Tamandua tetradactyla: one gene and its partners. The protein of the gene in region 1 purifies or fractionates together with the protein of each later gene. This does not show direct contact. Links are inferred from orthologs where the notes say so. Each region holds a gene or a part of one and is shown in the gene's direction. Other genes may lie near its edges. The genes, in order: SDC2, AMPD2 and PDPK1.

The links.
Region 2: the proteins of SDC2 (region 1) and AMPD2 purify together in Homo sapiens (co-immunoprecipitation; 3 studies listed by BioGRID and IntAct, counting the BioPlex papers as one, with this or other methods). This does not show direct contact. The link is inferred for Tamandua tetradactyla from reciprocal best matches to the Homo sapiens genes SDC2 and AMPD2.
Region 3: the proteins of SDC2 (region 1) and PDPK1 purify together in Homo sapiens (affinity purification with mass spectrometry; 4 studies listed by BioGRID and IntAct, counting the BioPlex papers as one, with this or other methods). This does not show direct contact. The link is inferred for Tamandua tetradactyla from reciprocal best matches to the Homo sapiens genes SDC2 and PDPK1.

What each region holds. Positions count from the first base shown.
Region 1 is NC_135332.1:140,322,366-140,332,160, forward strand, and holds the start of SDC2 (syndecan-2), read left to right. Parts: upstream 1-5,949; 5' UTR 5,950-6,437; coding exon 6,438-6,497; intron 6,498-9,795. UniProt on the Homo sapiens protein: Cell surface proteoglycan which regulates dendritic arbor morphogenesis.
Region 2 is NC_135337.1:13,230,418-13,241,097, reverse strand, and holds the start of AMPD2 (AMP deaminase 2), read left to right. Parts: upstream 1-6,482; 5' UTR 6,483-7,455; coding exon 7,456-7,851; intron 7,852-8,072; coding exon 8,073-8,203; intron 8,204-8,562; coding exon 8,563-8,631; intron 8,632-8,720; coding exon 8,721-8,832; intron 8,833-9,066; coding exon 9,067-9,253; intron 9,254-9,488; coding exon 9,489-9,630; intron 9,631-9,743; coding exon 9,744-9,833; intron 9,834-10,019; coding exon 10,020-10,149; intron 10,150-10,326; coding exon 10,327-10,521; intron 10,522-10,603; coding exon 10,604-10,680. UniProt on the Homo sapiens protein: AMP deaminase plays a critical role in energy metabolism. Catalyzes the deamination of AMP to IMP and plays an important role in the purine nucleotide cycle.
Region 3 is NC_135349.1:54,877,637-54,888,053, reverse strand, and holds the start of PDPK1 (3-phosphoinositide-dependent protein kinase 1), read left to right. Parts: upstream 1-6,371; 5' UTR 6,372-6,477; coding exon 6,478-6,501; intron 6,502-6,822; exon of another isoform or gene 6,823-7,031; intron 7,032-10,417. UniProt on the Homo sapiens protein: Serine/threonine kinase which acts as a master kinase, phosphorylating and activating a subgroup of the AGC family of protein kinases.

The sequences.
Region 1 (9,795 bases):
CAGGGAAGGGCTGGATAAAGTTTGAAATGCTGTCTTCATCTGCTAGTTGCTATGACAAATACCACACAATGGGTTGGTTAAAAAAACAGGAATATATTGTCTTACGGATTCGAGGCTAGGACAAGCCCCAAATTAAGGCATCAGCAATGTGATACTTTCTCCCCCAAGTCTGTAACATTCTGGTGCTGGTTGCCCGTCATCCTTGCAGTTCTCTGGCTTATAGCCTTGCCTCACGTCCCATGGCGAGGTTCTCTTCCTTCTCTTTTTTGAGTTCCTTTGACTTCTGGCTTCTGACTCCTCCCTGTGATTCTCTGACTCTGGCTTCTGGTTTCTTTCTCTTTATAAAGCAGTCTGCATTAAGACGCAGCCTTATTCTGTAGGGCCACAACACCTTAACTGAAAACAACACCTTCAAGAGATCCCAATCACAACAGGTTCACAACCACAGGAATGCAGATTAAGATTAAGGACATGTCTAAACTGAGTACTTAATTCAACCTCCCACAAATACTCACACTTAGAGATAATATATGGTCACCTTAAAAAATGAATAGAAGTTCTGCCAGGTAACTTGGAGGGCATTCTATAAGACGAAGAAAGTGTGTTTAATGTGACAGAACTTTTGTAAAACTAGCAAGAACACAACAAAAAACTTGCCTGTACAAGGACATGTGTGCGTATCCATATAGGGTTATATGAGGAGGGAGGTAATAAGGGGCCAGAGGTCATCTCAGGGTGTTGCGGTGTTGGGCTGTGTGTGTGGTGAGTTGAGGGGAAAAGGGAGAGGGTGAAAGAGCCACTTTTATAATGCAACTTGCTGGAATGAAATCTGCAGAAAACATCCCTTCCTTTGTCATTTGTATTACTAATCACAACAAGAAAAGGAAGAGCAAACAGTAGACATTATAAATTCAGACTGTGAGAGATTGTGTTTTTCCTTCGCAGAAACAACACTTTCCCTATTTCTATCAGAATTCACAGGATTTAATTCTTTTTCACAACTTAATTATATTTCAGTCTATTTCAAAACTTGCAATTTTGGAATTTTATACTCTTTCCTTGGGTTTAACATTTTCATGGTGCATAATTTTTAAAAAGATAGGATGATATGTACTCTGGTTTCCTATGCCATTCTTAATTATATTTAGCTTTTTGCTTGTTCTTTTCGATATAACAGAACATACTTCTAAGAGCAATGTTTCTATCCTAGTTTGTAAATAATAGGTGAGAATTAATTATCTTAATGGTCTGTTGTTTAGGAAGAACAGAGGAGACTCCCTACCAATAATTGTCTCCCCCACATCAATTGTCCAGCTGTGGTCTACACAATTAGGAACAACGACCATTTAGTGTATAGGGCTCCCCTCCAAGGCTTTGGGAGAAGATGATTCTCTAAGAACAAGGAATGGGGCTGATGCTAGCTGCCACAAGAGGACTGATCTATAGACAGTAGTAATAGAGTAGTTCCATTTTACATGGAGTCAGTCAACAGGAGATTTTCCTGTCCAACTGGATATATAAACACAATGCAAATGACTTGGAGCTATCTCTCTGTTAAAGGTCTTAAATCCATATATCCAAGTAGGGCTCTGAGAAAAATAGTGTGTGAGGACCAATATTCTAGTTTGCTAGCTGCCAGAATGTGATATACCAGAAAAGAATGGCCTTTAAAAAAGGAGGAATTTATTAAGTTGCAAGTGCACAGTTCTAAGATTGTGAAAATGTCCTAACTAAAGCAAGGCTATAGAAATGTCCAATTTAAGGCATCCAGGGAAAGATACCTTGGTTCAAGAAGACCGATGGCATTCAGAGTTTCTCTCTCAACTCGAAGGGGACATGGCAAACATGGCGATCTCTGCTAGCTTTCTCTCCAGGCTTCTTGTTTCATGAAGCTCTCCTAGGGGTGTTTTCCTACTTCGTCTCCAAAGGTCTCTGGCTGTATGGGCCCTAAAGCTTTTTCCAAAATGGTTCCCTCTTACAGGGCTCAAGTGAGCAACCCCACCTTGAATGGGTAGAGACACACCTCCATGGACATCATCTAATCAAAAGTACTACCCACAACTGGGTAGGTCACAGCTCCATGAGAACAATCAAAAGCTCCCAGTTAGCAATATTGAATGAGAATTAAAGGACATAGCTTTTCTGGGGTCCACCACAGATTCAAACTGACACAACCAGAAATGATGCATTCGATAAAATATGTGCTTCTTTAAAATTTCATAACTAATTTGAGGATGAAATTAATCATATATCTCAGGCACAGACTTGTGATTTGGGGAAACTCTTAGGTTTAATATGTAATTAACTCCAAATATGTTTCAAGAAAATTTATGTGCCTACCCTTCGTGTAGGCACTGTGGCAGGTCATCCAAATGTTTGTTGAATGAACGAATGATTGTCAAGGTTTTCCAGACTTTAAGAAACCTATGTAGGTGTTTTGCCTCTTGGTTTATTCAGCGGGTAACTGTATATTATATAGTTCCTTGAGGTTCTTCCCTGTTGCCTGCTGTCGAAAATGTGGCAGTTTTGTTCAACATTAGCACCATGTCAAGTTGTGAAAGGGAGGGGAGCTGAAACTCAAATCAGTCAACGTCCCTGGCAAAGGATTGGTGGAGGTGAATGAAGAGAACAATGGGAAAAAATGAGGCTAAATAAAGATTTTTTTGCATCACCTGTAGATTTTTGTCATGGTGTCAGCTCACTTGCCATTAATAGCATAACTAATTCATATTTGGTTGGCTGGATTTTCTCTTATACTCCAGGTCCATCATCTTTCAAGTGAATTTAGTCAGGCTTAATGCTCCAAGTGGATTTCTAGCCAACATCCCTGATAACATTCCAGGGAGTGGCGAGTGACAGAACAACCGAGAACAACAAAGTGGCATCTTTCTACCTTTGCAGTTTCCCCAACTTGTACAGCTCACGTGGGATGAAGCACCTGCTTGTCCAAGGTCATAGAGTAATATTACTAGATACCATTATAGAAGAGGCTAGGTCATCAATTTTAGGTAAACAACAAAAAACTAAAAGTATGTCTTGGGTATCTTTCATTTCTATTATTTCATTTTACTTGGTCCTCTTTAACTCCTGCTTTCTACATATCAGCATCTTAATCTATATTTATTTTAACTTTTAAATATTTTCCTCTGAGATTCTTAAGGTAAGTTGCTTGTTCTTTTAGCAACCAGTGAAGCTATTTGGTTGGTTAAACTACTTTATTTGCTGTGTCCCTCAAAGTATAGCTTCAAACTGGTGAATTGGAAAACATACAGTAGCCAGGTACCTTTAGGCTCTAGTCATGAGCTGAACTAGTGTATTAGGTATATTTCACAAAATTCTACAGAATTTGATTTGCATCAGTTAAAAAGAAAAAAAGCCCAATAACAAAACACATAAGGGTCTTTGTCATCTCCAAATTTAGACTTGCTTCTGACTAACACTAGTAGACATCATCTACCTTCTACACCGTCTCCCCAAACCCCCATATCCCTCTCCCAATGTGCTCCTCACTTAATGTAGGCAAGGCATTTGCAACCAGTTTTCGTGCAAGTGCTTTTATGATTAGTGCTTTTTATACCGTTAGATTATCCCCTGAGCCACATCTGTTAATGCATTTGAACATAAGAGCTTGACTAGCTATCATATCAAAACTTGAGATTGTGTGACTCCTAAAAAGGTACCAAATTGGGTGGTGTGATGGTGGCTCAGTGGCAGAATTCTCTCCTGCCATGCTGGAGACCCGGGTTCAATTCCTGGTGCCTGCCCATGCAAAAACAAAAAAAGGGTACCAAATTCATTTGGTGTATATGTTCTCAAAGTCACATTATCATTTGAAGACAAACCCAACAAAAAGGCATTGAGAGTCTCATAGACATCAAGGACCTTGGTGTGTGTCTTTGGTAAAGAGACAGATACACCCCTTCAACACATGTATCTGCTTTACTCATTTTTATTCATTTAGTTCAAGCTGAATCAGAGAGCAGTCACCTTGCTTCAAGCTAGGAGGATGCCCCAAACCACAGCACTAGTCATCAGAGCCAGCAAATGTGTACTTTCCCATCTGATTAGAATTCTAATTAATTTGATGGGTTCTTAGCTGTTGGAAATGAAAGGGGTATGGCCTTGCCTGATGGCTGGAGAGCAGATTAGGTCCCTATGGGGGTAGAGCTCACATTTTATGGTTCTTTGTATTTTCCCACACATTTTCCCTTGGACTCTCCTTTGAGAAGTCTCCCCATGTTATGAAATTCTTCAACCCACAATATTTCACCTTAAAATATGGCTATAGTACAATCTTTCAAAGAGCACGCTGGCCTCACAAAGGGTGCAAGTGCAGGATCATCTTCTGAGGAATCAGAAGCATCTGATGTTATAACTTTCAGTCTCCTTCTCTTTCTCTGTTTTTTTTTTTGTTTGTTTGTTTGCCTGTTGCAATACATATCTTTTTGTCTGCCTATGCCTTAGATTTGCCCCTGGGCACTTGGAGCTTGGTAGTTGGCCATAAAAACCAAACAACTAGATGTTTCCAATTTGAGATGTTAATTCTCCAGTTCTACAAATTTCTTTCTCTCGAATTTATTAAAGTGATAGATTGCTCAGACTTTGCAATTCTCATTTAGGATATGACTGTATCTAACTCTAAGACTAAGTTCAAAAATTACCATGGCCCAGTATCTATGGATCCCTATATATGTATTTTAAAGTCTTACTACTCTTATTCAGTATAGACTGAGCTTTACAACAAAATTTACTCAAGAGACATGTATTGCGTGCCCTTTATGTGTCAACAAGAGGAATAAAGTGGTGAACAAGACAGAAAGGTACCTGGGTCTGTTGGAGTGGGCATTCTAGGAGCAGAATGGCTTCATAATTCATTCCCTCCATAAGTCACAGAGCAAGATGGTGGTAGAAACTGGAAGGGACTATTCATTAGCCAAGTTCTATAGTACACCATAGACATTGACTTGAAAGAAATACAGTAACTTTATAACAAAATATTTCGTATCAGTTATTTACATTCAGGAAATACATGCGCCTTATTTTCTTTAAACTAGAAAATATTTTAGCTCTCTTTCCTTTGAAGGTCTTAAATCTGGGTGGCTATCCAGTTTCTCATCAAATTGCCCTGTTTTAGCTTTCAAACGTTGACACTTCTATGCTGAAATGGAGCCTGCAAAATGCCTTAGAGGCTGAAGCTGTGTGTGAGGCAGAAATGGTATTTAAGCCCTTAATGAAATTATTACCTTTGAAACTTGCATTTAGGGTTTATAGGAGCCTTCCTCCACTTATTATTATTATTATTTTTGAAGGGGGAGGAAAAAGAATTACTGTCGGTGTGGGAAATACTCTTAATACATACATTTATTAAGTGTCCTCTGCTTAAAAATACAATTTTCATGAATTGGCGATTTAGATATACTTCTCATTGCCTGGAAACATCTGTGAACTTTTATCTGTAAAAAAAGAGTTTAATTATTTTTTTGAACTCTCAAAACGGTTTTCTTTCCACTGTTCTAATTCTTGTTGGCAGAAAGCTAAATATCTCTCATTTCTTCACTATCTTTCTAGAGAGAGAAATATGAAAGTGAAGGAAAGGAGAAAGAAAAGAAAACAGAACAGCTGGATGAAGAGAAAGGAAAAGTGGGGGGCTGGGGGTGGGGAGAGACGAGGAAGAGGGGGTGAGAAATGAAGGAGCACAGGTTTGTGAACTAGCAGCCACCGAACAGCCACAGCGCCGAGCCGCAAACGCCCACTGGCCCTAGGAGCTGCCAATCGGGGCGTAATCCTGTAGGAATTTCTCCCGGGTTTAACTGGGAGTCACACTGCCGCCTCCTCTCACCCAGACGCCCGGAGGAGCCGGGAGAAGCAAGCTCTGGAGGGAGGGAGGGAGGGGGAGGAAAAGAGGAGGAGGAGGACTCGGGAGGGAGGCGGCGGTGGGGGGGAGGAGGGGCGCAGCCGCGGAGCCACTAGCCCAGCGCGGACTAGCTTCTCTCCAGATACTCCCGGAGCTCCAGCGCGGCGGACCGCGCGCCCCAACCGCACTGCCACTAAACTCCAGCTCCCTCCTTATTGCAAGCCTTCTAATTTATTCCTTAAAATCAGAAACTAAGCCGCGATACGGGGAACGAGGCCGCGGAGGAATAAAACAGCAGCCGAGAAACAGCTCCAGATAGCCTCCCCAGAGCAACAACTCGGCATCGGGAGTCCAGAAACCAACAAGTGAGAAGGCACCGCGTTCCTGGGGCGCAGCCGCCGGCAGCAGGAGCAGGCGCAGGAGAAGGCAGCGAGCGCCCCTGAGCCCCGAGCTTTTGCTGCTGTCGCTGCTGCTGCTCCTCCACTCCGGATCCCTCTGCGCGGGCCGCGCGGGGCGCTAGGCAGGAGGCTTCATTTCACCCTCGTTGCAAGCGGAGGCTAGGAGCAACCGGTCACCAAGGAATATGCGGCGCGCGTGGATCCTGCTCACCTTGGGCTTGGTGGCGTGCGTGTCGGCGGAGTCGGTGAGTGGGCCAGCGGGGGTCGCATGCACGGTTCAGGGTGTTTGGGGCCGCGAGAGGAGTCCGCGGTGTCCCGGGGGAATCGGGGAGCGTCACCTGAGGGATCCCATTCCTAGATGCCGCGCTCGGTCCCCGGGGATCTGCTGGGAGAAATGCGCTCGCTTCTCCACCCCTTTTCCCTCTTCCTACCCTGCCCGCAGAAAGGCGCCCTTCGCTTGGGTTGCCGCGAGGTCCCTCGGGATGGGAGCGCGAGAGTGGCAGTTTTGTCCAACTGCAGAGGTTACTGAAGTCACTCCCAACTTCGCTCTCAGGGTGTTTTGCTGCGTGGCCCGGGAAGGATCGGGGTGGGGATTGAGGGGTGGCCGGAGACTGGAGCAGGAGCAGAACTCCCGAAGGAATAGGACGTCTCTGTGCGCTCCGTGCGACTCAGGGATGAGCTGGAAACTTTGGGGCTCCGTCCTCCACACACCATTACCCCAGGCTATCCTTCCGGCTGTACAGAATGTAGGATCTGGGGAGATGGGCCCCAGATTTGAGAAACCTGCAATTGCCCGAGAGGAAAGTTTCCAAAAGTTCTTTTGTTTAATTTTCCCTCTGGCTGGGGCGAGGTAGCCGTCGCGACTTGGAAACGCTGCCGGCCCGTAGGAGAACGCGAGGAGTGCGCGGAACGCGCGGCTAAGTGGCGGGGGCGTGGGCCTTTGGAGTCCTTTGGCGACCTCCCTCTCCATTTGCGGGGCGGAGGGCTGCCCGCGGGGCCTTCGGGGCTGGAAGACATTTTAATTCCAAGTGCACTGGAGTGCAGAAAGCAGGGCGAGGCGGGGTGTGTGTGAAACTGCGCTCGGCCTTCAGGTCGTCCTGCCGGCTACCGGAGGGAAACTTCTAGCCGACCACGCTCGCCCTCTCGGGCCTTGGCCGCGGCGCGTCCCGGGCACGGAGCCTCCTGTCCCGCTCCCGCAATGGAAACTTGATTAAAAAAAATTTTTTTTTCTCGGTTTGGTCGAGAAAAAAACCCTACGTAGGGTTTCTGCGGCCCTACGTAGTCCGGTGAGCGCCCTCTAAAGGGGACTGTTTCCCGGGCTTCCTTTGCTCAACGGCCCTACCTAGGCGCCCGGAGCTAGGTCCAGGCAAGTGGAAGCCCAAGCGTCGGGATTCCGTCTGCGGCCTCAGTGCGGTGTGGAGGCTAGGCTAGAGAATGCGTTCTTTCTGCCCCTCCTAGTCTTCAGTGTTCCTTCTCTAATTAACTCAACTGTCTCTTCCCAAGAAAAATTATATCGCCTTTAGGTTGTTTTGTGATTCCCCCCCACCCTCGCTTTTGGGGTGTTACTTTTCCTTCTTCCTTCTTTTTGAGGTGAACCAGTTTAGGATTGGGAAACCCTCTGGCAATGGGCACTGGCTGGGCAATTTTAATGTGTGTGAGCCTCTGCGTACTTACTAGCAGATCCCCAAACGTTATCTCGGTTTGGAGAGCATCTAGAATTGTCAGTGATAAAGAATAGATGAGTTATTTGGGCGTTTAGGCTGTAAAACTGAGCTCCGACCCTTAGGGGTATTTCTCTTTAGCAAATGATGTTTTAATCGGTTGAAATTAGTAATCTCCGAACCAGTTATGAACTTTGGCTCATTGTGTACACAAAAAGGAACAGATTCTCTGTTTATTTCAGATAAACATTATTGCTCATCTTGTTGCAAAACAGGGCAAAAGGGAGAACTTTATCTCAGGGTTTTCAAAGGCAGCCTGCCTAAAAAGCTGTACAGGGTTAGTAGAGCCTTTTTCTTTTTTTTCCTCCCTCTCAGTCCTGTTCAGTGGGTTTCAGTGATTTGTTTAGGAAATGTTACTGTTTTGGGATTCTAGAGAAAGAATGTCTCTTATCGTCTGCCTGTCTGGGTTTTTGCATAAATCTGACAGTGCTTCTTTAAGGAAGCTTTTTGGCTGAACTGTATCTGGCACCTTCTGGGTGACACCCTTCCCCTGAAATCTGTATATTTGGGGTTCTAATATTTATCAATGTGGTCTGTTTGTTCTGATCAGAATTGTATGCATTTGGTGTAAGCTGCCTCATTGTGGAAGATTACATTTTCAGTAATTGGAATATCATCTCAAAGAGTGATTAGAGGTTTTTAAAATGTCAATTCACAGACTATAGCCGAGAGTCTTTGCTGGGCAGTGAGTCAGTCTTTTCTTCCAGAAGCTGCTTCAAAGCTCAGAATGACAACTCGTCAATTTAAATTATTATTCAGTACCTTTTTGTTTCATGTATAGCAACAGAAATAAGCATGGAGTTAAAAGAGTTCATTTTAGAAAGTTTAGTCACTGTAGTGCATTATTTCCAGTACTTCTCATTTCAACTTGAGAGCTATGTCCTGGGACTTGGAACGAGTGGTAGTCAGTGCTTAAGTGGTAGTCTCTCTTTACAAGGGAGAAAGGGAAAAAGTCTGCCATTAATGAAATCTTGAGTTTTATACTTAGCTTTGGGTGGGGTGGGGGTGGGGGGCAATGGTAGTTCTCAGGAACTAAGTCTCAAGGCTGTCTGTGAGAAGGAGCAAGCGGCTCTTCCTTTGTGGATGTGAGAACACAGCAGCCAGTGCTTAGCCAGGGAAAGCCTGTTCGTGGTGATGCATTCATACTTTCCACCGGCAGGTTAGGGCTTTCACTGTTGGAACACTATGCAAGGAGAAAGACTGACTGAGTGTGGCGGTAGTGATATGCTGCTGTTTTTCTATCCAGTTTTTTTTTTTATGACTGTTTATCTTTAGAAATAATATATTGCAGACTACCATAAACACATAACTTGAACTGGAAATATTTTTAAGAAAAGGGAAGTGTTTTGGACTAGTGGAATTTTATACATATGTTTAAATGTTTCTCAATTAAAAGAAACCGTCAAGCAGTTTAGACCCAGTGTGTTATGAAAGGCTGGCTTTGGAAAGTTTGCATCAGAAAGGAAAATAAAAATTGAAATCATACTGCCTTTTGCTATTCTTTAAAAAATATATTTTGGCCATTCTAGGAATGAAACCAATTCATTTTGCTGGGGAGTTTAATAGAAACAAGGACTCTTTCTCTGCTGGTTGGCTATTAGAAGTAGAGAGACGTCATTTAAGAAGGAAAGATCTTAAAAGATCAGGCTCGCAGGAGGTGGATATTCCAAGTAGGAAATTGAGCATGTCCCCCATCTCCCACTTCTGGGACCTGGTAGGTCAAGTTTTGATGTCGCTCACCATTTGAATGGCAGCCTGTTGGGGACTCGTAATGTGATCACTCACATGACACCTTGGATAATCATTAGTTTGGCAAAGATAT
Region 2 (10,680 bases), on another chromosome or scaffold:
CATAAGCAGGAACCATAACGTGTACTTCTTTTTACCTACATTTATATTGTAAATATTTCCATATCATTAAAAAAAATCTCCAAGAACTATTTTAATGTCTCTATTTCATTGTATGCCTTTCACATAATTTAAACATTCTCTTATTGCTGAACCTTTAAGTTTCCAGCTTTTCTGTGTGATAAAACATTGCAGTGATGAACAAATTTTATTCATATATATTTTTCTGGCAGCTTTAAAAAAAGAACTTCCCCCCCTATGTGGGACATGACATCCAGGGGAGAAAGGCTCCCTGACAGTGTGGGAGATAACTCCCAGGGTTGAGACTGGCCCTGGCACTGTGGAATTGACAATGCCTTCCTGACCAAAAGGGGGAATAGAATTGTAACAAATAAGGTATCAGTGGCTGAGAGAGTTCAAATAGAGTCGAGAGGCCACTCTGGAGGGGAGTCTTACCTAAGCTTCAGCTAGATACTGCTATTTACTGGTTTGCCAAACCTGAACCAAAATTTCCTGCCAATCCTAAAGAACATGTAGGGCACTATCTGAGATTCTCCAAAGTTTCATGCACTGTGATTACTTTCCAGAAACCTACAACCTCCAGTTGGGGCTTCTAGGCCAGATAAGTCCTGAAACCTAGAGGGGCCAAACTCTCCAGAACATCAACTAGTTCCATCCCTCTATCCCATATTATCAACAGCCCTTTCCAACATGAGAAAGTCAGAATGGGCATAGCCCAAATAACCCCTACAGACTGGAGAAAGATCAAAGGAGAAGGTGGAGTTGTAACAGAGAAGATAGGATTTAACAAATGAGTATGATTGCTGAATCACTAGATCGGTATTTCATTTAGTCTCCAGTGTCTTTGGGTAGCTAGAAGTAAAAACCCAAAATTTGGAACTGTGACCCCTACCAAACTCTGAAATCTGTTCTATTAAAAAAAAATTTTTTTTTCTGGCAGCTTTAAAAAAGAATTACTCTTTACACTTCAAGAGTAATTCCTTGATGTGGAAGTACTGGGTCTAATAGTAATGAACTTTTAAACTCTTGGGTATATATTGCCAAATGGCTTTCAGAAAGGTTTGTTCAGTGTTTATATCCACAACCGTGTGTGTGTGTGTGTGTGTGTGTGTGTGTGTGTGTGTCCCATCTCACTAACTGCATTAGGATGATCTTTTTTTTTTTTTTTTACCTATCTTGCTAATTTGATAGTTAAAACATGGAATCTCCTTGTTTTCTTATTAGTTGTGTTGATTCTGAGGTGGACTTCCTGTGTGTATGTCTATCTGAGGTGGACTTCCTGTGTGTATGTCTATGGAGGCTATTGTTTTTGTAGTTTGTCCAGGGCAAAGAGCAAGTGGACAGAGGATCAAAAGAGGTAACACTGGATGTAGGTAGAGAATAAGGTTCAATGTCCAGAATCCAGCCTGGGGAGAGTTGGGGGAGGCAAGATTTGGAAGAAGAAGCTTGGCTGTGGGGGTGGTGAGAACTGGGAGGGGGTAAACAGTTCAACTGGATGTGTGTTGGGGGGGGTGGGGGTGTCAAAGGGCCCTTCCATAAGGGTGAGAAATAGGGAAGAGATTGTTCTAATTGTTATTATTGGGCACTTAGTTTTATGTAGGGAAATCTTATGGATTTAACCTTTCCCTCCACAAGTTCCCTTTAGGTAAGTTTTTCTGCCACTTGGGGGTGCGGGTACTAGCTGATTGGAGTATCTGCAGCATCCCCCAAACGTCCACTTCTTTATAGGCTGGAGGTTGAATCAACCTGTCCGTAAGAAATCAAAGCCTAGGACATAGCCGTGATCGAGATGTAAACACTGAGTTGTGACTAAAGGCCAGGCACAAGTATGAGCACTTTACACGTACTAGCTCTTTAGCCTAACCACCACCATAAAGCAGGTACTCTTACACTCACAGATGAAATGGAAGCACAGAAAAGTTGAGGAACTTGCCCAACTTCAGTCAGGGGGTGGAGGGGCCTGGATTTGAACCCAGCAATCTGGTTACAGATGCTAATCCCTTTGCCACCAAATATAGAAATAAATGAGGAAAGGGGAGCCAGAATAGCAGGGCACACCGTGCCTACCTAGGCCTGCCAGAAGAGAACAGAGGACCTAGAGTGGGAATGCTGGGCTTCTACGGCTCAAAGTGAATCCTGGGACACTAATAATAGCTACTTTTTATTGGGCGCTGACCATGTGCCAGGCACTGTGCAAGGGGGTTTTACATTTAATCCTCACAATAACCCCTTTGAGTGAGGTACTGTCATTCCCGCATTCCATCTACTAACGAGGAAGCTGACGCACAGAAGGGTTATGAACTTGCCCAATACCGGGAGGCCCCGCCAGGCGGGCTGCGGGGTGGAAGCAGCCCACGTGGCGCCCGGGAAGCGGAAAAGTGGCGGGGGCGGGGCCTGGCCAGGGCGGGGCCACAGATACCGGCGCGGCGCGGGCGAGCTTCTAGTGGGGTCGCACCTGTTGCGTGACTCCCCCACGGTCCAGCTACCGACGTCCCAGTCCAAGTACCCGGGGCGGGTTGGGGAGAAGCCGGGCCGAGTTCCGGGTGCCGCTCTCTGGGGAGCACGTGGTGTGCCCGCCTCTCGCGCGCCGGCCTTGGGGTCCCGGCTAGCCGGAGCAGCGGCGCCGCCGCGGCCGGTGGGCGTCCGCGCCCCCGCTCTGGAAGACCTGCCTTATTTCCCCCACCGCGGTGCCAGGGCAGGGCCCGCCGCAGCGACTCGGCCGGGGTCTGGGACCCAGCGCCCCGACCTCCCCTCGAGTCCCAGCTTGTCCCTTTGCGGGCAGCCTTCCCGGGGCCCCTCGGGACTCTGGCAGCATGGCCTCAGGTGAGTGCGCGTGGGTTGCGGGGAGGGCCTCCGGGCTAGGGCAGTGCGGGAGGCAGGATGACAGGAGGACCGAGGGAAGGCGGCCGGCTCGTTCTGGGAAGGAGCGCCTGTGTGTGGAAAGACAGAGGGGAGTCAGAAGAGACGGGGGTGTCTTTCACAGACCTCCAGACGAGCTCCTCCTGGCCGCCCTGCCGTCCTGGCGGGTCCCGTCTGCCGGACAGCGGCTCCCGGCGCCTCGCTCCTCTCTCAGTTCTACCCCATCCTCCCCGGAGAAGCAAAACCCGAGGCTCTGCCGCAGAGACGGGCAGGGTTTTCAGGGAAGAGTGAGCCACTCTGCCTGCCCTGAGAGGAATGTGTGCTGAGCGTGAAGGCAGGGGCTGGGTTCCTGTTCATTATGCTTTCTCTCGGGCTGGCTGGACCAGCTCACCTGGACTTTGCCCTGAAGCCCTGGCAAAGGGTGAGGAGGCTTCCTGGCGGGGTTTGTGGAGAGCTGGGTGCTGGCCTTTCTCCATCCGATTTTCTCTTTCTCCACCCCCCTCCCCCCCCAGGGCCATCCACCATCAGTCCTGGCACTCCAGGGGCTGAGGAAGGGAGGGGAGGGGTGAGGGGTGGGGAAGGAGGCAACCTCTGTGCCAGGTTGCCTAGACAACATCAGAAATCGTGGCCAGGGCCTCTTCCGCCTGCGGGGCCTCTGCTTCCTGCATCAGTCACTCCCGCTGGGGGCGGGGCGGAGGAAGAGGTTGGATGTGGCAGAGTGAGGCTCTTGCCGGTGCTGCTCAGACGCCCCCCGCCCGCCATCGTGCAGCCCCAGCCATGGCATCCTATGCATCTGCCCCCAGCAAGTCCAAAGCCAAATATCCCTTTAAGAAGCGGGCCAGCCTGCAGGCCTCCGCTGCAGTACAGGGTGAGTCTGTGCTTCCCGGCCTTGGACACACGCTCTGTCTCACCTCTTCTCATTCAGACCAATGGCCCCTCAGAGATGGGGGTGGGGGTGGGGTGGGGGCCTTCTCTGGTACCCTCTATGGTTGTGCCCCTCGGCCTCAGTACCAGGGAGAGCTGACTTGAGAGGTGGCATGGGGAGGAAGGTCGGGTGGGGGTGACTGAGGTTTAGGTGTCCCGGACATTGTCCTCTGTAACAAGGAGTGGATTCAGCAAGAGGTGTGTTTGCACACATGTCAGCGTGTGGATGTGCTTCGACAAATGTTTGCATGTGGAGTGTGTGTGAATGGAGTGGGAGTAGGAGGTGTGTGTAGGGCTGGCTGTCTGGTTTTTGGACCAGCCACACCGATTGGTGGCTGTGCATCACCAGGCAGGCTCAGGCTGTCCTTCTGTGACTGGCTCCTCTTTCCAGGACCCCCGACCTCGATAGCGGAGTCTTGACATCAGGGTGCACCTATTGCTGGCTGGCAACCGAGAGCTGGGAGACTCAGCTGTATGTTTGCTCATTCCTGGTCTGTGCGTGGGAGCCTTCTCGAGTATGGGGTGTCCTTCGGTCAGGCCTGTCTCGGGTGTTCAGGCTGTGCTGCGGGTATCTCTGTACCCTTTGATTCGGCTCCCCCTCTGGTAGGAATCTCTGCACCATTTGGAGCAAGCACTTTGGAGCAGGTGGTGTGGTGCAGCAGTCCCTGTGTTGGTGAGGGCTTGGCTCCCAGAGTCTGTGCTTGATACAGGTCTGCCTGCCACCCAGTGCCCCCAGGCCCGGTGGCTGAGGACCAGGTCAAGCGTACACCCCCTACGTCTCCTAGCAACTGTCTGTCCCTATAGCCTGAGCATCTCCCTCCTTTGTTGTTTATGCCATTGAAGATGCCTGGCCCAAGACCTGTACTGTCCCGAGGCCAGGTCTGTGCCATCCAGAAGGTATGTTCCCTGGGGCTGGGGCTGTACTAGTTGCCCTATTGCTGAACCAGAGAACTTTGGGTGGTAAAAGGGTCAGAGCATCTGAGACTCGTGAGTACCAGCCTGGGGTACCTCCGTGCCTACTGAGGCCTCCTTGGCAGGGAGTGAGAGACTACTGGACGAGAGGAAGATGGGGTACCCAGAATTCTGGAGTTGCTGGAATGCCTGTGGAGTGGCTGTGTGTATGGACTGGTGGGCTTTTGGTTGATTCTCCCCTGTGTGGATGGGTGTGGGGATACTATAGGCAGGATCCTAGTAGCACTGGACATGGGACAAGGGACCACAGGCAGCTAGCTGAGCCTTCTAGGCCCTGACCTCCTAGAGCCTGAAGTTTGCTCCTTCATGTTACTTCCACTGGAGGCGCTGCATCCCTGGCAGCCCTGTGCAGTGTTGTGGCAGGTCTGGGGGGATGGCTCTGGCTGCTGGAACTTGTCACCCTCCACATAGCCTTGGAGGCTCCAGGCCACCTCTCTGGGAGAAAGGATCAAAATTAGGGCTTTTGGCTCAGATCTTGAGGACCCAGCACAGATCAGCCATGGAAGTCTGTGCTCTGCTTCCCCGTGAGGGCTTACAAGTGTGGGGAGGACATATGTAGCATCAGGTACTTGGACAAGCAAGAACCTTAGACTCTGCCTTCCACCCTGGGGGTGGAGCAGGTACCCATCTTCCTTTCCCTTCCTGCTCTGCCCTCCACCAAGTAAGAGACAGCATCACTCCCTGTCACAACTTCCCTGCCAAATTCTGTCCTCTTCTCTGCCCTTTGCCAGTTGCCCTGGCTCCAGTGGGTGGGACTACGTGTGGAAAGTGTTTTGAGGGTCCCAGGAGTTCATAATTGCACATCCTTCTTGGCACAGTGCAGAACCCTGGCTGAGCCATTTATCTCTGGGAGTCTTTATCTCCGGGAGCCTTTCTTGGCAGCTCTGGCAGAGCAGGGCAGGAACCGCTTATCAACCCACTTATATAAGGACTTGAAGACTCCAGAAGTAGACTACAGAGTCAAACTAAGTCCTCCAAATTCTAGACGTTCTTCTCTCAAAACTCTCCTTCTCGACCATTTGTCCTGTCCCCAACTTAAGTCTGGGGCAAGGGTTGGAGATCTCATGGCTACCCCTGAGAAGGTGGGCAGTGGGAAGCCCTGACTTCCCAGTAACTGACTCCAAACAGGGCTAGGCCGTTGCCCTGGCTACCAGCCAGCTCCTCTCCCCAGCTCCCCTGACTCCCTGGAGGGACCTCCCAGGCGGGGCCCAGAGGACAGTCTATGGTGGGCAACAGGGCCTGGGCCGATGAGTGTGAGCTGAGGAGAGCTGTCCTGCCTTCCTTTTCCTTCCCCCTACCCTTTGGCCAGCCAGGCCCTGCCCACTCTCAGTTGTCTAGGGCAGTGGATTTTAAGAAGGCTTGGCCCCTCCCTGCCAGTCTGTCCCACCCATATCAGAAAACCCTGTTCTTCCTCCTTGGGGGCCCTCACATTTGACTGGGCTCTGGCACTGCACAGGTTAAGGCACTGTCAGTTTAGGGGTTCCTCTTAACTCCCAACTTTGAGGCCCCTTCCCTAATTCTTGGGCTCCCCTGAACTCCAGCCTCTGCTTGCCGCCATCCCAGGGTCTCCCCTCCTTGCAGCTGCACTTGGTACAGCCCGTGCCGGCCCCTGAGCTGTCCTGGGGGACAGGCTGCAGCTTCACTCAGCAAGCCGGCGGGCAAGGGGCGTAGGGCTGCTGGCTGGAGCTGCCTGAACTCGGCAGGTAGGGCTGGGGCAGGGGCGCGTGTGAGTGGACGTCTGGGTCCTGGATCTGGGGTGGCACTTCATCTCTCTCTTCCTTTTATCTGGCCTGGGGACCAGACTCTGGAGTACCGGGAAGTGGGCACAGAGACTTTAAGGCATGCTACCTAGGCAGATCCCTCAGTCCTTCCTGAAGCCAGGGCAGAAAGGGGAAGGGAGGGGTCTGGAGGGGAGCACCCCCAGAGCTGGCTGGGAGAGCCAGGTTGAGTGTGGAGGAGTTTCCCACCCGTGAGGTTGAGGCTGGAGAGCTTGAGGGAGGCCCCTCAGGGTGGGCTGGGAGCTCAGGCAGCCCCAACAGGCCAGCAGCTTCAAGGCTTATGGTGCCAGCCTACTGATGGTGCAACTGGAGAGTTCTGCCCCTCAATGGAGAGAGACCCCTGGCTTCTGATACTCCCCTTCCCAGGCCCTCCGTGGGGCCTCCGGCCCAGATCCTGGGGCCTCCCAGTGGCGCAGGCTGTTTGTGGCAGCTCCCTTTGGAGGGGCAGCCAGCAGTGGGAGGGCCAGGCTGGGGCCAGGCCACATCTTGGCAGCCCTGGGGTCCTGGGGGAGAGGGCAGGCCTCCAGGGAGGAGGCAGGGTTCCTGCTGCCAACCAGGTCCTCCATTTCCTCTCTTCCTCCCTTGAGGGCTGGTCCCTAGGTCAGAGCTAGTGGCTTCCCCTGTGGTTTACAGGACTGTGCTACCAGGTGGGGGCCCTGCTTCTCTGGGTGGAGATCTAGTAAGAGGCAGGTCTTGTCCTGGACTGCCTGCCCCGGGAGCTGTGGGCTGGGCATCCCTGTGGGGCCACCCGGTCCTTGGTGAGTGTCTGCTGTGTGTGCGCCTTTGCACACGTGCACGCATGTCAGGCACTCACCTGGGGGAGGTGCTTAACGGGAGGTTCTCACAGCAGGGGGTGTGGGCCCTAGTTCTCGGTTCAGGGTTCAGGTTCTTATTCTCGCAGTGAATGAATCCACTTGTTCCATGGCCAGACTCACGACCCCCAACCCCAGCCTGGAGTGGGCGAGGGGCCCCCTGGTTGCACTGTGAGGGTAAAGCTTGTGAAACCCACATGCAGGCTCACTCCTCAGCCCCAGGGACCCGCTTTCTGGGCCCATTTTGGCCTTTCTTCAGGGTTGGCCTGGGACGGGCAGGGACACAGGGCTTCTACGGACACCCAGGCTCTGTCCACTCCCGCCCCCAGTCCACTGACCCAACCACTGTCTCCACAGAGGCCCGGAGTGGGCTGGGAGCCCCTCCGCTGCAGTCCGCCCGCTCCGTGCCGGGGCCCGCCCCCTGCCTCAAGCACTTCCCCCTCGACCTGCGCACTTCCATGGATGGCAAATGCAAGGAGATCGCCGAGGTATCGCCTGGCCCCGCCCCATGTCCCCTCACCGCGGGGGTCCCCACGCCCTGCCTCTGCCCCCTTCAGCCCCTACCCCAGCTGCCCCTCCCCATCCTTTGGGGTCCCGGGTCCCCACCTCCTGTTGCTCTCAGCCTGTCTGAGGCCCTGCCGGGGAGGACCCCAGGGGCCAAGGCCGGGCTCTGACCCTCTCCTGGCTGCGCCTGCCTTCCTCCCACCAGGAGCTGTTCAGCCGCTCGCTGGCCGAGAGCGAGCTCCGGAGCGCCCCCTACGAGTTCCCCGAGGAGAGCCCCATCGAGCAGCTGGAGGAGCGGCGGCAGCGCCTGGAGCGGCAGATCAGCCAGGACGTCAAGTGCGCTCCCCCGGCCTCCAGGGCCTGGCCACAGCCTAGCCTGCTGAGCCCCTCCTTGGTCCCCTTCCCTTCCCCTCTCCCTTGGGGGCCCCCTGGGAGGCAGCCTAGAGCATGAGCTGTGGAGCCAGGCTGCTGGAGCTTTCGTTCCGTGTTCTGCCCACCACTGTGCCCTGGAACATGTTGCTTAACTTGTGGGTCTGTTGTCTCGGCTCTAAAGTGGGGTAGGACCAGTGCCCGTGGCAGGGGGTTCTCCCTCCGTGGAGGTCATGGTGACAGGCACCTGTGTGCTTCCAGGCCTGGTGCTGGGGGCTGGGGGAGGGGAATGCATCTGCCCGACCTCTCACCCCTTTCACCTCCAGGCTGGAGCCGGACATTTTGCTTCGGGCCAAGCAAGACTTCCTGAAGACTGATAGTGACTCAGACTTACAGTGAGCAGGGCAGAGGGGCGAGGGGGATGCTGAGGTGGGACCTGGGCTGCTGCTGGCCCCCACCCATCCCCATCCACGTCCCCGTGCAGGCTGTACAAGGAGCAGGGCGAGGGCCAGGGTGACCGGGGCCTGCGGGAGCGTGACGGGCTGCTGGAAAGGGAGTTCCAACGGGTCACCATCTCCGGGGAGGAGAAGTGTGGCGTGAGTGTGGGGCGGGGCTTGGGTCTCCACCCCTAGGTGTCCCCAGGAGCCCGTCCAGCCCAGGGAGTTGGGGGTGGAGGCTGGTGGCCCTGGTTCTCCTTTTCAAAGCCGGGGTGGTGTGAACGCACCAGGACCGCGTGGTCTGAATGTTTCTGGGATTAGGGCCTGTGCAGATGGGGAGAAGGGGCCTGGGGTCAGAGGTCCAGGCGGGTGATCACACGTCCCTGCCTCCAGGTGCCATTCACAGACCTGCTGGACGCAGCCAAAAGTGTGGTGCGGGCCCTGTTCATCAGGGAGAAGTACATGGCGCTGGCGCTGCAGAGCTGCTGCCCCACCACCCGCCGCTATCTGCAGCAGCTGGCTGAGAAGCCTCTGGAGACGCGGACCTATGAGCAGGGCCCTGAGACGCCCGTGTCTGCTGGTAGGGCCCCGCATCCCTGCCCCATCCAAGTGCCTGCATCTCCCGGGCTCCCTGAGCTCAGGACCCAGGAGCCTCTGCTCTGTCTGCTTCTCCACCCATCTGGGCTCACCCTGGCTTCTTGGTGGGGCGCTGGGAGGGCAGGGGTTAGAGGTTGGGGTGGGAGCAGCCCTTCGGGGTCCTTTGGTGTCTCACCTCCCACGGGGCCTGGCCCTGACTCCACCTTCACACCCCGCAGACGCCCCGGTGCACCCCCCTGCGCTGGAGCAGCACCCCTACGAGCACTGCGAGCCCAGCACCATGCCCGGGGACCTGGGCTTTGGCCTGCGCATGGTGCGTGGCGTGGTACACGTCTACACGCGCAGGGAGCTCGATGAGCAGTAAGAGGGGCTGGCCTGGGTTGGGGGAAGGTGCTTGGGAGGTTGCTTTGGCCCCGGGGAGGGGCTGGAGGGCCCGGCTTGCTCTCCTCAGCCCAGTTTCCCCCACATGCCAGTTGCTCAGAGCTGGAGCTGCCGTACCCCGACCTGCAGGAATTTGTGGCTGATGTCAATGTGCTGATGGCCCTGATTATCAACGGCCCCATGTGAGCCCCGCCCCCTTGGGTGTCCTGCCTCAGACCCCACACCTAGGCAGTTCCCCCGTACTCATCTGTCCCTCAGCCTGACCCTATTGTCCCCTCCCTCCGTCTGCTACCCAGGCCTCCCCACCCATGGCGCCTCCTTTGCATCCTGAGTCCCTTACCTTGTTGTCTCCCCAACCCCCTGCCCAGAAAGTCGTTCTGCTACCGCCGGCTGCAGTACCTGAGCTCCAAGTTCCAGATGCACGTGCTGCTCAACGAGATGAAGGAGCTGGCCGCCCAGAAGAAGGTGCCACACCGAGATTTCTACAACATCCGCAAGGTGGGCCCTCACTGCCCTCGACATAGGCCCTCGCCCAGCTTCCACCTCAAGGGCTGGCGTCCCCTCCCCACCCCTTGCCACCCCCAGATCCAGTTTGTGAGGCCTCTTCCATCGTGCTGCCCTGACCTTCCTGGCCGGGCCTCTGGTGGACCCAGCCGCCTCCCGTCTCCCCTGTAGGTGGACACACACATCCACGCCTCGTCCTGCATGAACCAGAAGCACCTGCTGCGCTTCATCAAGCGGGCGATGAAGCGGCATCTGGAGGAGATCGTGCACGTGGAGCAGGGCCGTGAGCAGACGCTGCGGGAGGTCTTCGAGAGCATGAATCTCACCGCCTACGACCTGAGCGTGGACACTCTCGACGTGCACGCGGTCTGTCCTGGCAGCCTGGGGCAGGGTGGCCGCGTCAGGGCAGGGGCCAGGCAATGACACCGGGTCTGCCCTTCTCCCCCAGGACAGAAACACCTTCCATCGCTTCGACAAGTTCAATGCGAAGTACAACCCCATTGGGGAGTCTGTCCTCCGAGAGAT
Region 3 (10,417 bases), on another chromosome or scaffold:
GGGTTTTTCTCAGTCCCTTGATGCTGAGTCTCAGCTCATTCCAGGATGTCTGTCCCACATTGCCAGGAAGGTCCACACCCCTGGGAGTCATGTCCCACACAGAGAGGGAAAGGGTGGTGAGACTGCTCGTTGTTTTGGCTGGAGAGAGAGGCCACATCTGAGCAACAAAAGAGGCTCTCTTGGGGGTGACTCTTAGGCCTAAATTTTAAGTAGACTTGACCTATCCTTTGTGAGGTTAAGTTTCATGTGAACAAATCCCAAGCCTGGGGGCTCAGCCTATAGCTTTGGTTGTCCACACTGCTTGTGAGAATATCAAGAATTCAACTTGGGGAAGTTGAATTTCTCCCCACTCTCACCATTCCCCGAAGGGGGCTTGCAAATACTTTTCCAGTCACTGATCAAATCACTCTGGGATTCATCAGGGCATCACTCTGGACAAACCAACAAAATCTCATATGCTACCTGAGATTCCAAGTACTTATGACATTCACTCAAACTATCTACATGAGTTATATTAGGAAATGCTCTAGTCAAAATATAAATTTTGTAACAAATAAACATTTTTTGCTTTAGTCTCACACATAAGGTGACATTTTAAAGTATTAATTATCTATTTTCAACACCCTGCAATAATGAAATTCCTTTGTTCTTCCTCAGGCAAAAACATTTCTTAAATTTGTACATTGTACATTTCACTATTATTATACACTCTAGGCATTCCTAGATTATACCATCTCGATCTTTACCATCTATCTTTCTTTCTGATTTCATTTATGTCCCCAGTCCTCCTCCCTCTATCATTCTCACATGCAGGTTCATTCAGTGTTTTAACATAATTACATTACTGTTAGGTAGTATTGTGCTGTCCATATCTGAGATTTTATATTCAGTCCTGTTGCACAATCTGTATCCCTTCAGCTCCAATCACCCAATATCTCACCCTATTTCTATCTCCTGATGGTCTCTGTTACCAAGGAAATATTCTAAGTTTATTCACTAACGTCAGTTCATGTCAGTGAGACCATACAGTATTTGTCCTTTTGTTTCTGGCTAATCACACTCAGCATAATGTGCTTAAGGTCCATTCATGTTGTTACATACTTCATAACTTTATTCTGTCTTACAGCTGCATAATATTCCATCTTATGTAAATGTCACAGTTTGTTTAGTCAAGTGTCTGTTGATGGACATTTTGGCTGTTTCCATCACTTGGTAATTGTTAATAATGCTGCTATAAACATGTAAATGTCCATTTGTGTCCTTGGCCTCGTGACCTTTGAGTAGAGACAGCATATAGATGGGTCCTGTTTTTTAAACCATTCTGCCAGACTATGTCTTTTTTTTTTTTTTTTTTTTTTTTTTAAAGGAAAGACAGAGAGAAGGAAGGAAGGAAGGAAGAAAGGGAAACATCTTTAAACATTTTCTTGTTTTATTGTATTCTGTTTCTCCGTTTTCGTTACATGGGCTGGGGCCGGGAATCGAACTGAGGTCCTCCGGCATAGCAGGCAAGCACTTTGCCCGCTGAGCCACCGCGGCCCGCCCCAGACTATGTCTTTTGATTAGAGAGTTTAATCCATTAACATTCAGTGTTATTACTGCATGGGTAGTACTTTCTTCTACTATTTTGCCTTCTGGATTTTATATGTCATATCTAATTTTCCTTCCTTTTACCTTTACTCATGGTCTTCCTTTCTACACTCTTCTCCACACTTCTCTCTTCTGTCTTTGTATCTGTCTCTAGTGCTCCCTTTAGTATTTCTTGCAGAGCTGGTCTCTTGGTCACAAATTCTCTCAGTGATTTTTTGTCTGAAAATATTTTCATTTCTCCCTCATTTTTGAAGGACAATTTTGCTGGATATAGAATTCTTGGTTGGCAGTTTTTCTCTTTTAATAATTTAATTATATTATCCCACTGTCTTCTCGCCTCCACGGTTTCTGCTGAGAGATCTGCGCATAGTCTTATTGGGCTTCCCTTGTATGTGATGGATTGCTTTTCTCTTGCTGCTTTCAAGATCCTGTCTTTCTCTGTGACCTCTGACATTCTGATTATTAAATGTCTTGGAGTACGTCTATTTGGATCTATTCTCTTTGGGGTGCGCTGCACTTCTTGGATCTGTAATTTTAAGTCTTTCATAAGAGTTGGGAAATTTTCAGTGATAATTTCCTCCATTAGTTTTTCTCCTCCTTTTCCCTTCTCTTCTCCTTCTGGGACACCCACAACACGTATATTCATGCGCTTCATATTGTCTTTCAATTCCCTGAGTCCCTGCTCATATTTTTCCTTTTTTTTCCCTATAGTTTCTGTTTCTTGTTGGATTTCAGATGTTCTGTCCTCCGGTTCATTAATCCTATGTTCTGCCTCTCGAAATCTACCATTGTAGATTTCCATTGTTTTTTTCATCTCTTCTACTGTGTCTTTCATTCCCATAAGTTCTGTGATTTGTTTTTTTAGGCTTTCAGTTTCTTCTTTTTGTTCCTTCCTTGCCTTCTTTATATCCTTCCTCAATTCATTGATTTGGTTTTTGATGAGGTTTTCCATGTCTGTTCGTATATTCTGAATTAGTTGTTTCAGCTCCTGTATGTCATTTGAATTGTTGGTTTGTTCCTTTGACTGGGTCAATTTCCTTAGTGTGATTTGTTATTTTTTGCTGGCGTCTAGGCATTTAATTACCTTAATTAGTTTATTCTGGAGATTGCTTTCACTTCTTTTATCTAGGGTTTTCTTGCTGGATGAATTTGTTGTCTATCTGTTCTTTGACATTCTGTTCAGCTTTATCTGGACCTTTAGCTTAAGTTTTGTTTAACAGAGGAGAATTTTTCTGTTCTTGTTTTCTTGTTTCTTGTGCTGCTTTCCCCTTCACACACTTAGGAGGGTCTGCTTAGATATTATAGATCCCAGCCAGATTTTCCCAGACCAAACTGGCTTCCTATCAGGAGGAAAGAGTCACCTGCATTGGTTTTCCCTGAGCATGAGACCCAGCAGGTTGAAAGACTTTCCTGTGAAGTCTCTGGACTCTGTTTTTCTTATCCTGCCCAGTATGTGGCGCTTGTCTGACTGCAGGTCCCACCAGCATAAGATGATGCGGTACCTTTAACTTTGGCTGGGGGTTTGTTGGAGACAGAGGAGAGGTTGTAGGCTGGTTTTAATGGCTTCAAATTACCAAGCACTGGTGTCTGAATTCCTTGATGGAGGGATTCCACCTGGGTGGGGCTTCACCCCTCCCCTGGGGAAGGCACAGGCTCCAGATAAGCCCCCAGAAGAGCTCACTTCTGCCTATGCCTGGGGCAGTTGCAGCCTGAAAAGTCCTGCGGCTGTATGCAGAGGCAGTCAAGCCTTTGTAGATATATAGCCACAAAAACCTGTTTCCTTCTTTCTTCCCCCCTTTTTCTGTCAGGCCTGCCCCCTTGGTGCCGGGGCAAAAATGAGCAACCTCCGCTTTGATTGGGTTCACCTAAGCTGGGGGCCTATTTTTAGTAGTCAGAATTTGTTAATTAGTTCCACAATTGGCGTTTGATTGTGCCCAGTCCCTGCTGCTGGTAAAGTCCTTTCCTTTCCCCTCTGGGAAGCGGCCTGTCGGGGAGGGGCGCTGGCCGCCGCAGCTTTGGGAACTCATGGTTTTGGGGGGTGCTCGTAGCCGGTCCAGCCGGTCCAGACTGGGGTACACTGTGTGTCCGGCCACCGACATGGCCCCAGGAGCTGTTCTGTACTGTTTCTGGTTATTTAGCAGTTGTTCTGGAGGATGAACTAAAATGCGCACGTTGTTAAGCCGCCATCTTGACCCGCGGAATCTGTTATTGTTTCTTAAGGTATCCTATGTGTCTAGATTCTTGTCCTGACACTTTGTGACCTCTGCTTCTTCGTCTGAAAAGTGGGGTGACAGTGGTGGGGGTGTTTGTGAGGGTAAATGGGTTTAGGCCTGAACATCCTTACTTAGAGTAAGCGCTGAATAAATGTTAGCAGCTACTACTCCTCTTGAACAATTCAGTCTAGCCACGTGGGATAATGGGTGAGTTTATTTCATTGTTATTACTCTGTGTTATCTAAAGGATCATTAAAAAAATTCAGATATATTGCTTTGGATATCGTGCTGGTTTGAAATGATGGATGTACCCTAGAAAAGCCACATTTTAAACCTAATCTCATTTTGTAAAGGCAGCCGTTTCTTCTAATCCCTATTCAGTATTGTATGTTTGAATCTGTAATTAGAGCATCCCCCTGGAGGTGGGATTTCATCAAGAGTGGTTGTTAAACTGGATTAGGTGACGACATGTCTCCACCCATTTGGGTGGGTCTTGATTAGTTTCTGCAGTCCTATAAAAGAGGAAACATTTTGGGGAATGAAGGAGAGAGCAGAGAATGCTGCAGCACCATGAGGCAGAGAATCCACTAGCCAGCAACCTTTGGAAATGAAGAAGGAAAATGCCTCCCGGGGAGCTTCATGAAATAGGAAGCCAGGAGAGAAAGCTAGCAGATGACGCTGTGTTCGCCATATGCCCTTCCAGCTGAGAGACAAGCCCTGACCGTGTTTGCCATGTACCTTCTCACTAGAGAGATAGACCCTGAACGTCATTGGCCTTCTTAAACCAAGGTATCTTTCCCTGGATGCCTTAGATTGGACATTTCTAAAGACTTGTTTTAATTGGGACATTTTCTCGGCTTTAGAACTGTTAACTAGCAACTTGTTAAATTCCCCTTTTTAAAAATCATTCTGTTTCTGGTATTTTGCGTTCTGGCAGCTAGCAAACTAGAACAGATACACACAAAAAACAGGTTATTTAGCACTATGAAAGCCTTAGGTTACAAGGATGATCCTAATTTGAAGACAGCATCATCATCAACAACAATAACAACCACAAAAATAAGAAATACATGCCTAGGCAAAGAAAAAAGTTCTGAGGATGTTCCTGGACTATTTGCAATGATGAGATGGCTTTGTTTTCTGCCTTATAAATGCGTCTTTATGACCAAAATGTCCTTCAATGCGTTCATTTTTTAAAAACATTTTTATTGTGAAATATAACATATACAAAGAAGCAATACATTTCAAAGTAGATTCTACAAATATTTATAGAATAGATTTCAAAGTTTGGTATGGGTTACAGATCCACAATTTCAGGTTTTTCCTTCTAGTTCCTCCAAGACACTGGAGACTAAAAGAAATAGCAACATAATGATTCAGCAGTCATACTCATTTGTTAAATCCTGTCTTCTCTGTTATACTCCTCCTCCTCCTTTGATCTTTCTCCCACTCTTCAGGGCTATTTGGGCTCTGGCCATTCCAACTTTTTTATGCTGGAAAAGGATGTCAACATAGGGGGATGGAACTAGTTGATGTTCTGGAGAGGCTGGGCCCTCTGGGTTTCAGGACTTATCTGGTCTAGGGACCACCTGGAAAGTAAACTTAGTGCAAGAAACTTCTGTAGGATCTCAAATAACAGCCCTGAATGTTCTTTAGGGTTAACAGGAATGGTGTTGGTTGGGGGTTGGCAAACCATTGCAATTCAGCAATATTTAGCTGAAGTTAGCTTAAGAGTAGTCTCCAGAATAGCCTCTAGACTCTATTTGAACTTTCATAGCAACTGATGGCTTATTTTGTTACATGTCTTTTCCCCCTTTTGGTCAGGATGGCATTATTGATCCCACAGTGCCAGGGCCAGATTCACCCTGGAAGTCATGTTTGGCCGTCCCAGGGAGACTTTCACCCTTGGACGTCATATTCCATGTAAGGTATTTTCTTTGCAGAGTTGGGCTTAGAAAGAGGCCACATCTGAGCAACCAAAGAGATTTTCTGGAGGTTAACTCTTAGGCATAACCATAGGTAGCCTTAGTTTCTCTTACATAAATAAGCTTCACAAGAGCTAGCCTCAAGATCAGGGGCCTGGCCTATTAACTTGGGAGTCCCTAATGTTTGAGTGTATTAGGGGTTTCCCAGGTGGGAAAGTTTAATAACGCATTCGTTTTTAACTAGAAAAGTTCCTCAAGGACCCGCCCTAGAGACGGTGCAGGGGTGAGAACCATGCTCCTTCGGTGCCTCCGGCGTGACCTTGGCCCAAGTCCAGGCCCCTCCGAGCCTCGGCTTCCCCAACTGCGAGCCCGGGATGACAGCTCGCCCTGTCCCCGCCCCGACTCGCAGACCCCGGGATTGGCCCACGCAGGTCCTCCCCTCGGCGGGGACCAGCCCTTCCCACCCGGCGGGCCCCAACCCGGAAGTGCGGCTCCCTGGGCGGGGGCGGGGTCGGCCGGGGCCGCGGTGGAGTGACGGCCTGTGCGGCCAATGGGAGAGGGCGACGGCGGCCGCGCAGCGGAAGTCCCGGCCAGCGTCGCGCGGGGGCGGGGCTGCGCCGAGGGCGGGGGGCGGCGGGGCGGGCGCAGGATGAGGGCGGCCATTGCTGGGGCTCCGCGGCGGGGAGGAGGACGCTGAGGAGGCGCCGAGCCGCGCAGCGCTGCGGGGGAGGGCCCGCGCCGACGCGGGGCCCATGGCCAGGACCACCAGCCAGCTGGTGAGTGTGCGGCGGCGGGGCGGGCGCGCCGGCCTCTGGGCCTCGTCGGGCCCGGCGGCCGCCCGGGCCCGGCGAGGCGGGGCGGCCCGGGGTCCCGCGGGCCGGGCGGCGCCTCACCTGGGGCCAGGCCGGGCGAGCCGGGCCGGGGGAGCGGGCGCCGGCCGGGGCGCCACTCGGCGGCTGCGGGGAGCCGGGCTGGCTGCGGCGGGCGCCGGCCCTGGCGGGGGACGCTGACAGACGCGCGGAGGGCGGGCGAGGCCGGGGAGGTGTCACCCGGCCCGGCGGGTGGAAGTGCCTGGAAAGTTTGTTTTCGGCGCGACGCGGCCTGGAGCCGGGCCTCCGGGATGCCCTTTCGGTTCTGCCCGCGAGGAGCCGCCCCGGGCCTTCACCTGGAACTACGTCCCGGCTCCCGGGCCGAGCAGCAGATGCAGGAGATGCGAGCGCTTGTCCCGAGCACCGGCTGCTCCCGGGATCTCGTTACCAGATTTTGAGTTCGGATAGAGCCCGATAAACTCGCCCTTCACGGCCAGGTGAGGGACTTTTGGGTGCTTTTACTTTTCCTACCTTGTGGCTCTGCTCCCGGCCTCAGGCTTCAGTGTTATGGGAAGCCCTTGGGAGCCGAGCTTGGACCTAGCACCGAAGGGAAAAGGAGCTTGACAGGTAGGAGGGGATTTTAGGGATAAAAGCAAACCAGTAACACTTGTTGGGTTAAGTGTTTTCCTGAAAGTATCACGAGTGTTTCTGTGTTTTCTCCCTGTTGCTAAAAGTATCTCTAGCGTGTTTATATCTTCACTCTGTTAAATTCTGGAGTTTGGGGAAGATGGTTGAAGAATTTTATATCTTACGTGTGAATGTGAAGTGAGTGGTGGAAGAAGTTTAGACATCCTGCAAAATTTGCTTTAAAAAGCAAATAAATTCCTTAATTGAAGGAACACCCATTAAGTTAACTTGTTCTCTTATCTTCCAGGACACCTCTTTACTGTAGGGATTCTTAACTTTTGGGGGGGTCAGTGGTAGGGCTCCTGGACCCCTTTGAGACATTGATGAAAGGTATGGGAAAGTGCGCTGAGGAAAGTACACAGCTGCACCAAATTCAGTTACTACTTGGGAAGGTTCCTGAACGTCCTGTCCTGCAGCTTCTTGGTGGTTAAGAACTCTGGTCTGTACAGATGGGCTAAACTGCATTGATCCAAAATCTGAAAGGAGGACCCATTTAGTTGAGGAAAATGGTGAAGGGTGACAGGGATGTCATTGATGGTTGCGACATGGGTGGCTATGCCCCGGGGGGCCTGGGCTGACGCAAAACTCTGAATCAGGCTGTTTGGCTCATCGGACTGGTGGCTAGGGAGGACGGTGGTTGTGGAAGTTTGTAAAATGAACTTTCACACAGGAATGCTGTTGCAATGCAAGGTGCATGCTTTGATGGCATCCATGGGAGGGGAAAGAGCACATTTTCTCCAGGCCTTGGAAGTTCTATGTGATGTATTGATGCCTAACGTTGGCACTTTTCTCTGCATATGGCAGCTGTTTAGTGCAAAAAACGCTGAAAACCAGTGAGAAAAAAATAGTCCTTCACATCAGGAAGTGAGAGAAACCAGGCTTTTGCGACTTTGTCAAATCGATTCCAAACATACGTAAGTGAGAATGTACCATGTTCCCCTTCAGAGGTGGGCCTGATACTGGCTTTTCCATAGTTTGAGTGGGTTCACATCCTCTCTAGGGACGTAGATGAAGACCCCTATCTCAACGGTTATTTTTCCCAGGCCTTTCTAAGTGTACTGCCAAGAGAGGGAGCAGTGTAAGTTGTGCAGTTAGAAAATGGTGTAGCCCAGGTTGGTACTAAGATGCACTGAAAGCTGTCTGTTCCATTTGTTAAAGCACTCAGGTGAAGGCAGGCGCCTTGCTAGTGCTGCACACTGAGTTGTCCTGTGGTATCAACAGTCTTGGAGGAAGGTGTCATTTCCACTTTACAGGGGGGTTAGCTGACATGCAGAGAGGTTAAGTATCTGCCTTGTAAATAACGCAGTGCAGTTTGCGCTCGAGTCTGAGAGACGGGAGAATCCCGGTGTCACACTGCCCCTTGGGTGAGGGACTCCCAGAGGGAGCGTCTCCCGGGAGTACAGTTCAGCGCTCAGCTTAAAGAAGCCCTTGGTGCCTCTGCCCGGGATGTCTTCCAGAGGATCGCGCCTGAATGTCCTGACTGTGTCATGCTGGAGGCAGGAGGGATATCTTCACATGGAAGGACATTACACTTATTTATTTCCTTAGGCAGATGGCTGAACTCCGTGACCCTCAGAGTCGCCTTAGCCCCATGCTGTGGGAAAGCAACTGTTTGGGAAGAGGCTCTGGTTTATCCTTATTTGAGAGCTGGTATTCTGAATGGGTGAGGCTTGGAATCCTCCCTTAGCAGAACTGCAGTGTGCAATGATTCTGTGAAAGGTAGAATTCGGGGGCCAGGGTCGTTCCCTCCCACACTTGGGTGGTGCTAACTTTCAGAAGTATTGCTGCATTCATGGGAAAGGCAGTGGGAAAAGCAGGGCATGGAACGAAGTGGTTTCTGATTCCCTTTTGGGTGGCTTTTTGTGTGACTGCAGCATGTTGATTTCTGTCCCCAGGAAGCTCTTGCAGCAGTTATGGAGCTGAGTTCAGAGCTGGCAGGTGAGATCCCAGTACCAATAAGGGGTGAAGGGGGAGGTCTGTTTTGCTTTCTCACATGGGTTTACGAGAAGAATCCCAGAAAAACCTCTGGAAAGCGGTCTACAGCTATATAAGTCATGCCTTTGGCCTCTAGGCTGCCTTCAGTTTGGGGAAGAGGAAAAAGAGGTTCCTGGGTGTGAACCCTTTTTCAGTCTGTGCCCCTCAACCAGCTCCGTCAGCAAACTGATCGGGGTTGGGTGCACGTAGGCCAGCAGACTGACCCCAGTGTGAGACAGAATTTGGCAAGTGTATGATTGATTGGGCGATTCTATGGTTAGGATTGTTTGCTAGCATGACACTTTCCCCATTTCTGAAGGGTATCTTTAGAGCAAATGTGCTTTGACAGAATTCCACGTACTCTTTCAGTTCTGCCTCTAGACCAAGTACTTGCTGTTGAGAGACCCTCAGTGCTGAAGTGACTCCCTCTGCAGGTGCGAGGGGTTGAGGCCCGCGTGTACCGCATACCGTGCACCTGCCCTCTTGATACCAGGCGTCAGCGGGGCGCATGGGCGCAGTTGTTTTGAAGCCAGGCAGGTTCAAAGGGCAGTTCACAGGGGAGGAAGTAGCTAGTGTGGAAACTAATTTTCGAACATTTATTATTCAGGTCTTTTCAGTAGTGTATTTTTTTGAAACTGGATAACATTCTTTTTCAGTGTGATACCAGGCCCTTTTCTTTAAATTATTTGACTACTGAGGAATGGTTGTGTATTAGGTCTCTAGCTGTTAGATAAACAGGCAGAGTACACTTTCTCAGAGTAACAGTTTGAAGAATTGGTTCCATCAATGGGGGACTCTGTTTTGATGATAGTATCTTAAAGAAGAGAAACTTGTTTGGGTTCATGATGGTTCTCCAGGTCTATTTTTCTGTGTTTGACACTGTTGCATTTATTTAGTTGAGCAAAGTCTGTTTCCACTCTTAGTCTTAGAAAGCTTTCCTAATATTTTAATTGAAATTTTTACTCCAAGAAATTCCAGGTAGTTTTAAGCTACCATTGAATCTTGTTTCAGAGAGATATTGCATTCTCTCTGATTTACATTTATGAACTTCAAACCCCTTAGAGAAACTCAGTCAGATGTATATGTAAATAGATTATCTACAGACCCACAGCAGTTGGAACCAACAGTACAGCACGTTATACTTAATGAAAACATTTGATGAGTCCGATACTAGCAGTCTGTGCTGAGCGCATGGCCCACTGGAGAATGAACAAGCATGTTA